Linked DNA regions of Coturnix japonica. The protein of the gene in region 2 purifies or fractionates together with the protein of the main gene of each other region. This does not show direct contact. Links are inferred from orthologs where the notes say so. Each region holds a gene or a part of one and is shown on either strand. Other genes may lie near its edges.

Region 1 (3,807 bases), on a different chromosome or scaffold from region 2:
TGGAGGAATTGGGTGGTCATTGCAAAACTGAACATGAGCAGTGTGCACTGCAGCCCAGAAAGCCAGCTGAATCCTGAACTGCATCTAAAGAAGCCCCTGTCAGGGAGAATGTCCCCTTGGGATAGCAGGCCACAGCAGCACCAGAACATCCACTGCTTAGCCAGGAAGAGAAAGGAAACCTTCTGGTGAATAAAACAGGCCTTGCAAAAAGATGAACCTTTTTGTTCTCTCATAAACAGCTTAAGAACCTGGTTTCTGTTACCCAGATCCCGAGACACAGCCCTACTTTTATCACCTCCCAAAGCACAGGGAAGCCCCAGCACCTCTGCTGCTTTAAGGAGCAGAAGTGCTACTTTATAGCCAAGGCCAGTAAAAATCCTGGTTAGAGGATTTCATCACCAGGTCACAGAGATTTTAAGTGCTGTTAGGAAGCATATTCATTTCTGAAAGGAAGCGCAGTGGGAGGCCCTTAAGCCACGTCCTGTAAGAAAATATGGCCCAGCCACCCTGCTGCCCTACTCACCTGTAGCCTAAAGAGTCCATGGGGACAGGGGCCATGCCCAAGTTTTCAGAGTAGTTTCTTGACTTTGTTGCATAGTTATGTGAATCTACATTCCAAGCAAAGCTGTTCTGCACTCTCTGAGTGGCCTCGGCCTCAATTTGCTCTTTTGGTTTCATCATGCTGTGGTGATGGATGTGGTGGTAGACATGTTTATGGTGGTATAAGTTAGCTGCATCCAGTTTCATTCCTGATTTCGTTGTGTGTTTGCCATGCCCTGGAGGAATCGTTCCAAGTGTCCCTGACAGCTTCCCTAAGTGGCCACTTTCTGGAGACCGTGGCTTGGGCGAATGGCGGCCGGGGCCTGGAGACTGACAGCCTGGTGTTTTCATCACACGTTGCACGTGTTCATCCAGGATGCTTTCTGGGTTTTCTTCATGTGCATCTCTCATCTGCATCCCAGCACAGCCCATCTCGGAGTAGCGAGGGGCAAAGTGATGAAAAGGTTGGGCGGAAGGCATCTTGTGGCTGAGGACTGAAGGACCAGAAGAGAGATCTGCATCCTCGCCTTCTTCTTCCTGCAAGAAACAAGAGGACAATTATAATGACAGCAAGGTGGCAGAAGAAGTCTGTGGGGTCTTCCTGCTCACAGCACGACTGTTACCAACACACGGATGGGTCACCCTTGGCTTTGGCCAGCCATGTTGTGAATATGTTCAACATAGAGAGATGTTCCCTTCTTTGGAGCCCTGCCCCAGGCTGTGGCACCTTCCTGTAGCCACTGACACTGCAGCCAAACCCTCCACGCAGATAAAGAAATGGCTGTAACTGCCTGCTTGCTCTCGTGGCCCACAGCAGCCTCGGACACGCTGCTGTTAGTGGCTCTTACAGCTGTGCCAGGAAGAATAAAACTCCTCCGTGCTGACAGCCACAGTTTTGATGCTGACAAACGATTTTATGCTCCAACATAAACTCAAATATTTATGAAGTTTCTTCATTGGAAAACAGGCTTCTTATTTGTTAAAAATTACATAAGTAGGATTCCATGCAAGTGCTTTAATCCCGCTCTCTTTTCTTCCTTTGGAGCAGAGAATCATTTGCAGCGTGTGGTATCTCTGCCCTGCCAGATAAGTGCATCTGCTGGAAAACACTGCCTCCCACCAGCTCTGCCTGTCGGATGTCCCCATCCATCACTTGCTATTCAGCTTCAAAGTCTCAGCTGCCAACCACAGTGCGAGAAAGCAAATAACAGACTTCCTCCCCACGTCACACCTGGGGGTTCAGAACTCAGCCAAGGACAATGGCAGCCTTTGAAAGCACCGAAGATGTGGGCGCCTGCTGTGCCCTCTGCCAGCAGCTCCTCCAGGGGGCCACGCTGCTGCCCAGCCCTCCGAGCAGCATGGTGAGCTCAGAGCTGGTAGGAGCAGAGCAGGGCTGCCCAGAGCAAAAGCATGCAACAGAACGAGTCCCAGCAGATGAATCAGGTGCGGAACATGGCAGAGAACTGCAAATGTTTTCTCTTTACATTCCCCTCTCTCTGCAATATGAACCTACTTCAGAAGTTGTTCAGACCCGCCTCACCATGTGGCAGGGATCAGAAACGGGCTGTTGTGCAAACACCTCGGAACAAGGCTGATCCCACAGCACAGCAGCACTGTTACAGTGACTCAGATGACAGCAGGTCACTCTGCAGATCTGGAGCTCAGGCTGACGTGATACCCATTCCCACAGGAGACAGCCCACTTCTCACAGACTGCTTTTAAAACCTTCAGGAGCACCTTTCATCTCCAGTGACAACACTGCAGCCTGTAAAACCCCATCTCTGCACAGCTGGTTTAGGAACAAGACAGAGTATGTGCAGCCTAAACCCATAATGCTGAGTTAAATGATTATGAGCAGGTTATGATAACACAGCCACACACTCGATACTTTGGAGGCTTTTAGGGCTGGTACCCACATTGTTCTGCTCAAGGACTGAGGTCAGGGTGGGCTAAGGGAAGGGGAGGGATGCACTGTCTCACTGTGCCCTGTCTCAGCTCATCTGTTTCACCAAGCTCTGGGAAGTTGGCTCCCCCCAGACAACCAGGAGCTCAGTGCAGCTGCACTGGGCACAAGTCAGCCCCTCACCTGGCACTTCTGGGCCTGCTGCACACAAACATGAGGAGCCAGGAGGACCAGCCTCCACTCCTGCCCAGGGCTGTGCCCTATGCAGGTCCCTGCTGCCTGCAGCCCGTGCCGGGCAGCCTCAGGTGGCACAGCCACTAGGTGGTGCTTGGGGGACGTGGTACCGGCAGGCACATCCTCTGCCAGCTTGCACAGCCAGCGACAGTGAGACGGATGCTTCGACTTTGCCGACTGCCTGCTGAGCTATTTTTACTCTACAGCCCAGCCTGAGTCCTTCCCTTGGAGCCGGGAGGCTGAACAGGCGCTGCTGAGCTATGGATAAGCAATATCTTGCTTTCACATCTCCCCACATCTCCCAGTCCCACCTGCAGGCTGCCAGGCTGAAATAGCTCACCTAGCACAGGAGTGCATTTATATCTTCAAGCAAAGTGCATTTTCCCTCTACTCAGACAACGTTTTACACTCAAATATTGAGCATCTCAGCAATGGTTTTACTTCTCCTGCACTTGGCTTATTTGAAACTCACTGGGTTGGGAGGCAGTCCTGCAGCTCCCATACAGCTGAGAAAGTAACAAGGCAGCATCCTCCCATCACCTCCTGCACCTGCTCAACATAATTAACAAATTCAGAGCTTTTAGGTTTGTTGTTTTCTTTAAAAAAAAACAATCCTATTATTTTTTTTCCAGCAGAAGACATCTGGTTCTCTATCAGGTATCTCTTTCAGATGCTGCTGTATGATGTGGCTTTGAAAGGGAACCTGCAGGCAGCCCAGTATGGGGTGGAGAAACCTTTTTTTTGAAGCTTTTGCAAAATATTTCCAGCTTCTCTGCTAAGCTGATAACTGCCCAGTGTGAGTAATGCCGTATGGTTTCCCCTGTGCAATGAGCCATGCAGAACCAGTAAGAGGTCACCCTGTAGTCCTAGTGCTCAGGACTGTGATCTCTGAGGATCCAAGCTCTCCTCTTGCTGATTCCAGCAGCTCTTGCACCCAAAGTACTGACCTAAAAAAACTACAGTTGCTTACTCTGAGTTTTTCCTGAATGGTTAATGCTAAATGCCAGCCAGTCAATGAAATATATTCTGTAGACAGCAAAGAGGTTTAATACATAGCAATAGTGGGAGGCTGGGGATTAAAAATAGATTAAGTCACACAAAAATATGTTTAGACAGACTTAAATTTATTC
Region 2 (4,525 bases):
GCACAGTCAGGGGAAATCTCACCTTCCAAGGAGGGCAGCTGGAAGCAGCCCATTGCAGGTACTCACCGCTGCTCTGCTGTCACAGCACAGCCTGACATGGCTCCACGTCCACAGCCAGCTCTGTCCCAATGGTAAGCAACTCTATCTTCCACCACTGGAAACAATTCAACACATTCACTGTTTCTGAACACAATTATTTATTGCGTTATTTCAGGATCCAGGAAAGGCCGGGCCTTGATTACAACAACATGTGCAGGGTTGCTGCGTTGGTTCCCAATCACTTCTCCAAGAAAACATTTGCTCTCCTAACGCAGGATTGACTTTTTGCTCCATACTGGGATTTACAAAGCACCCTGCCAAGCAATGCTCTCTGTGCCAAGTCACAGTTCTGCTCAGCCAGCTTGCAGTGACACGAGGGACAGGCGAGGAGAGCACTGAAAACCAAAGTGTTACTGTAGCTGAAGTGCCATTTACAGAACACACTGCAATAAAGCTTGTTTGGATGGCATCTGCAAGTATGCAAGGCAGAAATTAGACGTACAACACATGGCTAGTGGTGACTGCAGCTATAATTACCTATTTGCAACAGTATGAAAATCAGCTTGTAGATAAGATTAGGAGAAAAACCCCAATTTATCATTAACACTTGCTGAGACTGCAGAGAATGACAGTCCAAAATGTGACTGACAGCTTTTAGAGGCATGGGTTACCTCCAGCTGTTTGAGATGATGGGTTCCTACCTCAGGAGCGGCACCTCTGAGAGCCTTAACCTGGACTGTGATGTTGGTTGGAATACACATGAAGATCAGATCACAGCAGCCTTGGTCATACCTTCATCCTGAGGGCAGAGCAGCCAGTCTTCATGGGAATTAGAGATGTGCATTCAGCTGCCAGCATCCTATGGGGGTCCTCTGAGCCTTTACAGCCCCAAAGTCACAAACCTCTATTTGCTGCTGAACTGATTCACGTTCAGTTCCAAGCTACCTGATGGCATCGCAGTTCATAGTCATCCTCCTGCCCAGGGAAGTGCAGGAGTCACCATCCCTGGAGATGCCCCTGCATTGAGTGGGGCACAGTGGGGGTGGGTTGGATTTGATGATCTCAGTGGTCATTTCCAACCTTAACGATTGCATGATCCCTCACAAACAAGCCCTCACATTGCACGGTTGCATCTGAGACCACCGCCTAAATGAGAGAGGCAGAATTTATGGTGCTAAGCCTAGTTCACAGCCCTTCATCCTCCACCATCCCCATTTCTAGGGCAAGACAAGGAGAACAGCCCATCTCCCTTTAAGTTTTGAGACAAATGAGAATCCACCATAGGATTTACATTGCTTGCTCAGCCCACACGTGCCGGAGATGCCCCCAGCGCACCCACCAGCATCAGCACTGCTTTCACTCTCCCTCACACCAAACATCTGCAGAGCAGTGGTGATGAACACAAGAGCTGTCTGAACAAATCCATCAGCTTTCATTGAGGCTGCACCACAACAACACAGCGCCCGGATTCCTAAGCCAGCTACAGAGTGTGCGTGTGTCCATCACTTAGAGGGGGGAAAAAGGAGAGAGATTTATGAATAGGAGTTTTCAAAAGCCCTATTTTGCAAACCAACACTTCATAGAGATGCTTCCTAAACGTGGTTTTCACAATCCAGAACAACAACAAGTCAACGCAGGAGCGTTCCTACAGCGGCGTGCCAAGGCTAATACATTGCCACAGCAGAAATACATGGCAACAAACAATATCCACATTCCTTGGTGGATGGATGGAGCAGAACAGGGGTAGCTTTGGGTCTTAGGGATAAGGGGAAAGCCAGCATGGCACGTAATAGGGTGATGTGTTTCACCACCCAACCCCACTGTTACACAGGTTCAGGGCTGTATTAGTATTCCACAGACCTGCTCTCTTTTGCTGGCGAGGCATTTAAATACATAACAACAACAACAAAAAATCGACAGATGCGAGTACAAAGCGATTTACTACAAAAGGATTCATCACGTTTTGAAAGTTACTGTCTGGCGAGCTGTCAAACGCCTTTTTATTGGGTTTCCTTTATCGCGACCACAGATAAGGCCGGTACGAAGAGGACAGCCGAGCTCTGGTACTCGGGGCTTTGACAGCTGCCGGTGGGCTGGGAGAGCCCTCAGGAGAAGCAGCACAACCCGACACCAGCAGCCCCAGAAGGGGAGGAGGTTTTCAGGCCTGGTTCCCCTCAGCCCGGAGGACGAGGACAAGCAACGAGCCGAGGGCCGTGTGTGGAGCTGTCAGCGCCGGGCCGCCATGTTAGCGGCCGCCGCTCCCCCCCGGTGCCGGCGGGGCCTATACCGCCCAGCGGGTGCCGCAGTGCGCGGCTCGGGGCAGGGCCGCACCCGGCCGGCAGGGCCCGAACCGAGCTCCATGGAGCTTCCAAACGCAGCCCAGCACCGCGATAAGCGCCTGACCGCCGCCATCCAACCGAGCAGGTGCTCTCCCATCCGGGGCCGAAACCCGGCTGTCAGAGGGAACGGAGAGCGGCGACCCCCCCCCTCATATCCCCCTCCCGGTACCTCCACCGCCCCTCAGCTCACCCGAAATCCTGATCCATAGATTTGAAGAAGAATTTATAGCTGTGCACGGGCCGGTTGCTGAGGACATTTTTAAAATCAGCTAAAGTGACTTTTTCCGGAGGGACGGGCAGTTTCACCAGGTAAGGGGTTTCTTCTTCGTCGATGTGGTAAATGATTTTAGTCTCCGCCATGAGAGAAGGGAGGAGCTGGGGGGGCGAGCAATGCGATGAGGGGACGCGGCCCGGGGCTCCGCTCAGCGCCTCCAGCCCGCGGCCGCCCCACACAGGAAGGCAGCTCGTATCTCCCGGCCTCCGCCGTGCTGCTGGGCCGGGATTCCTCTCCCTGCACTGCTCTCTAGCTGCCCGACCCGGGAACGGCAGCCCTTCTTCACCGCCGCCTCCCGCCCCGAGTACATCCTCCCGCCGCCCCCCGCCGCGCTGGGCAGCGGGGCCGATGCGGCACCCAGCCCCGGGGCCGGTGGGCAGCGGGGGGGCAGCGGGCGAGCCGCCCTCCTCCTCCTCCTCTTCCTCCTCCTTCTCTCCCCTTATCCTCTCCTCCTCCTCCTCCTCCTGCCGCCTCTCGGCCCGTGGACAACCCGGCTCTCGCCCGCCGCCCCCCGCCGGCACGACGGCACTGCAGCGGGGACGGGCTGCGAGCGGAGGGATGCCTCCAAATAGGGGGAAATAAAAGCATACAGTGGGTTCTGTGGACTCCCTGCCCACCATGAGCTCATTTGGCTTCTCCAAAGCTTCTGTAAATGACAAAGCGTGGATATTCGTGGCTCTGATCAACATAAAGACGCATCCCTATTTCCTGTGTCCCCTATTTATGAATCTGAACAATTTGGTGTTAATAAAGACTCATCCCTGTTTCCTGTGCACCTACTTATGAAGTCATTGGAGTTTACATTGAGATAATAGGAAATGAAGGTGGGGCTCTCTGTGACTAATGGGGGATAGGGAAATGAGCTGGAGAGGGAGCAAAACCAGTTAACATAAAGCATTTGTAAAGGAAGCTGTAAGGATAGGCAACGAGGATCATAAAGGAGGGGAGAAGGAAGAAACGGGTTGGAGACACTGTTGACTGTCTATACAAAAAATGCCTTTAGAGATACTGACAACAGTAGGGAGCTCCAGGTAAAGAATGGGAAAGGCTCTCTGGGATGACTACACAACAGCTATGTGCTCTGATACACTGAGGGATGGAGTGTTTTCAATACAAAACCCAGGCAAAGCATAACCATCCATCCAGCCCTTTTGGTCTCTTCAGTTCATACTTAATGACCTCCTGCTCCTGCTCTATTGGCTCCCCTTTTGCTTTTGAAGGCTGAAAATATAATGAGTCGTATAATTGTCAGAATACCACCTTGGAACAGATATGATGAGGCTGAATCTATGACTCACAAAAAAGCTTTCCACGTCCCTATAAAGCACCGAAGAGATAACCCACTTTCATGTCACAGTCAAACCACAAGCTAATCCAATTAAAGAGTGTACATGGGAATGCAGGATGGGCCACCTGAGCAAACCACTGGTCCATCAGGGCTAATATCTCGTTTCTTGCAGAGTTCAGTGCTTAACACTTCAGTGGAAAATAAATATAAGGCATAAAATCTCTTGCTATTAGTGCCGTGCTCTCCGTGACAGAGCAAATAGTCTCACTGACCCCTGCAGGGAGCAGATAGTGTCCTGAGGCATGAAAGCTGCCCACCCTTTGCTTCATTTATACAGCAGTTCACTTCATTACCACGCAGAGAAGAGCCGAGCCTTTTGAAAAGGGCTCCTTTGAATTAGAGCGATGGTGGCTGCTTGTCTCAGTGAATTCCAAAAGCTCATCATGCTTTGGGTGCTTAGCAAATACATATTAGTTTAAAGGGATACAAGGAGAAAAGCTCTGAGCTCTCGTCCCCTTGTAGGGCTGGTGGGCCATGCAAGGAGGCCAGCAGTGTGGATTTTATGGAACTAAAGGGATGATACCT

The links.
Region 1: the proteins of DVL1 (region 2) and AXIN1 purify together in Homo sapiens (affinity purification with western blotting; 3 studies listed by BioGRID). This does not show direct contact. The link is inferred for Coturnix japonica from reciprocal best matches to the Homo sapiens genes DVL1 and AXIN1.

The regions. Positions count from the first base shown.
Region 1 is NC_029529.1:10,796,094-10,799,900, reverse strand, and holds part of AXIN1 (axin-1), read right to left. Parts: intron 1,078-3,807; coding exon 524-1,077; intron 1-523. UniProt on the Homo sapiens protein: Component of the beta-catenin destruction complex required for regulating CTNNB1 levels through phosphorylation and ubiquitination, and modulating Wnt-signaling.
Region 2 is NC_029536.1:1,916,075-1,920,599, reverse strand, and holds the start of DVL1 (segment polarity protein dishevelled homolog DVL-1), read right to left. Parts: upstream 3,059-4,525; 5' UTR 2,739-3,058; coding exon 2,569-2,738; intron 114-2,568; exon of another isoform or gene 99-113; coding exon of another isoform or gene 67-98; intron 1-66. UniProt on the Homo sapiens protein: Participates in Wnt signaling by binding to the cytoplasmic C-terminus of frizzled family members and transducing the Wnt signal to down-stream effectors. Plays a role both in canonical and non-canonical Wnt signaling.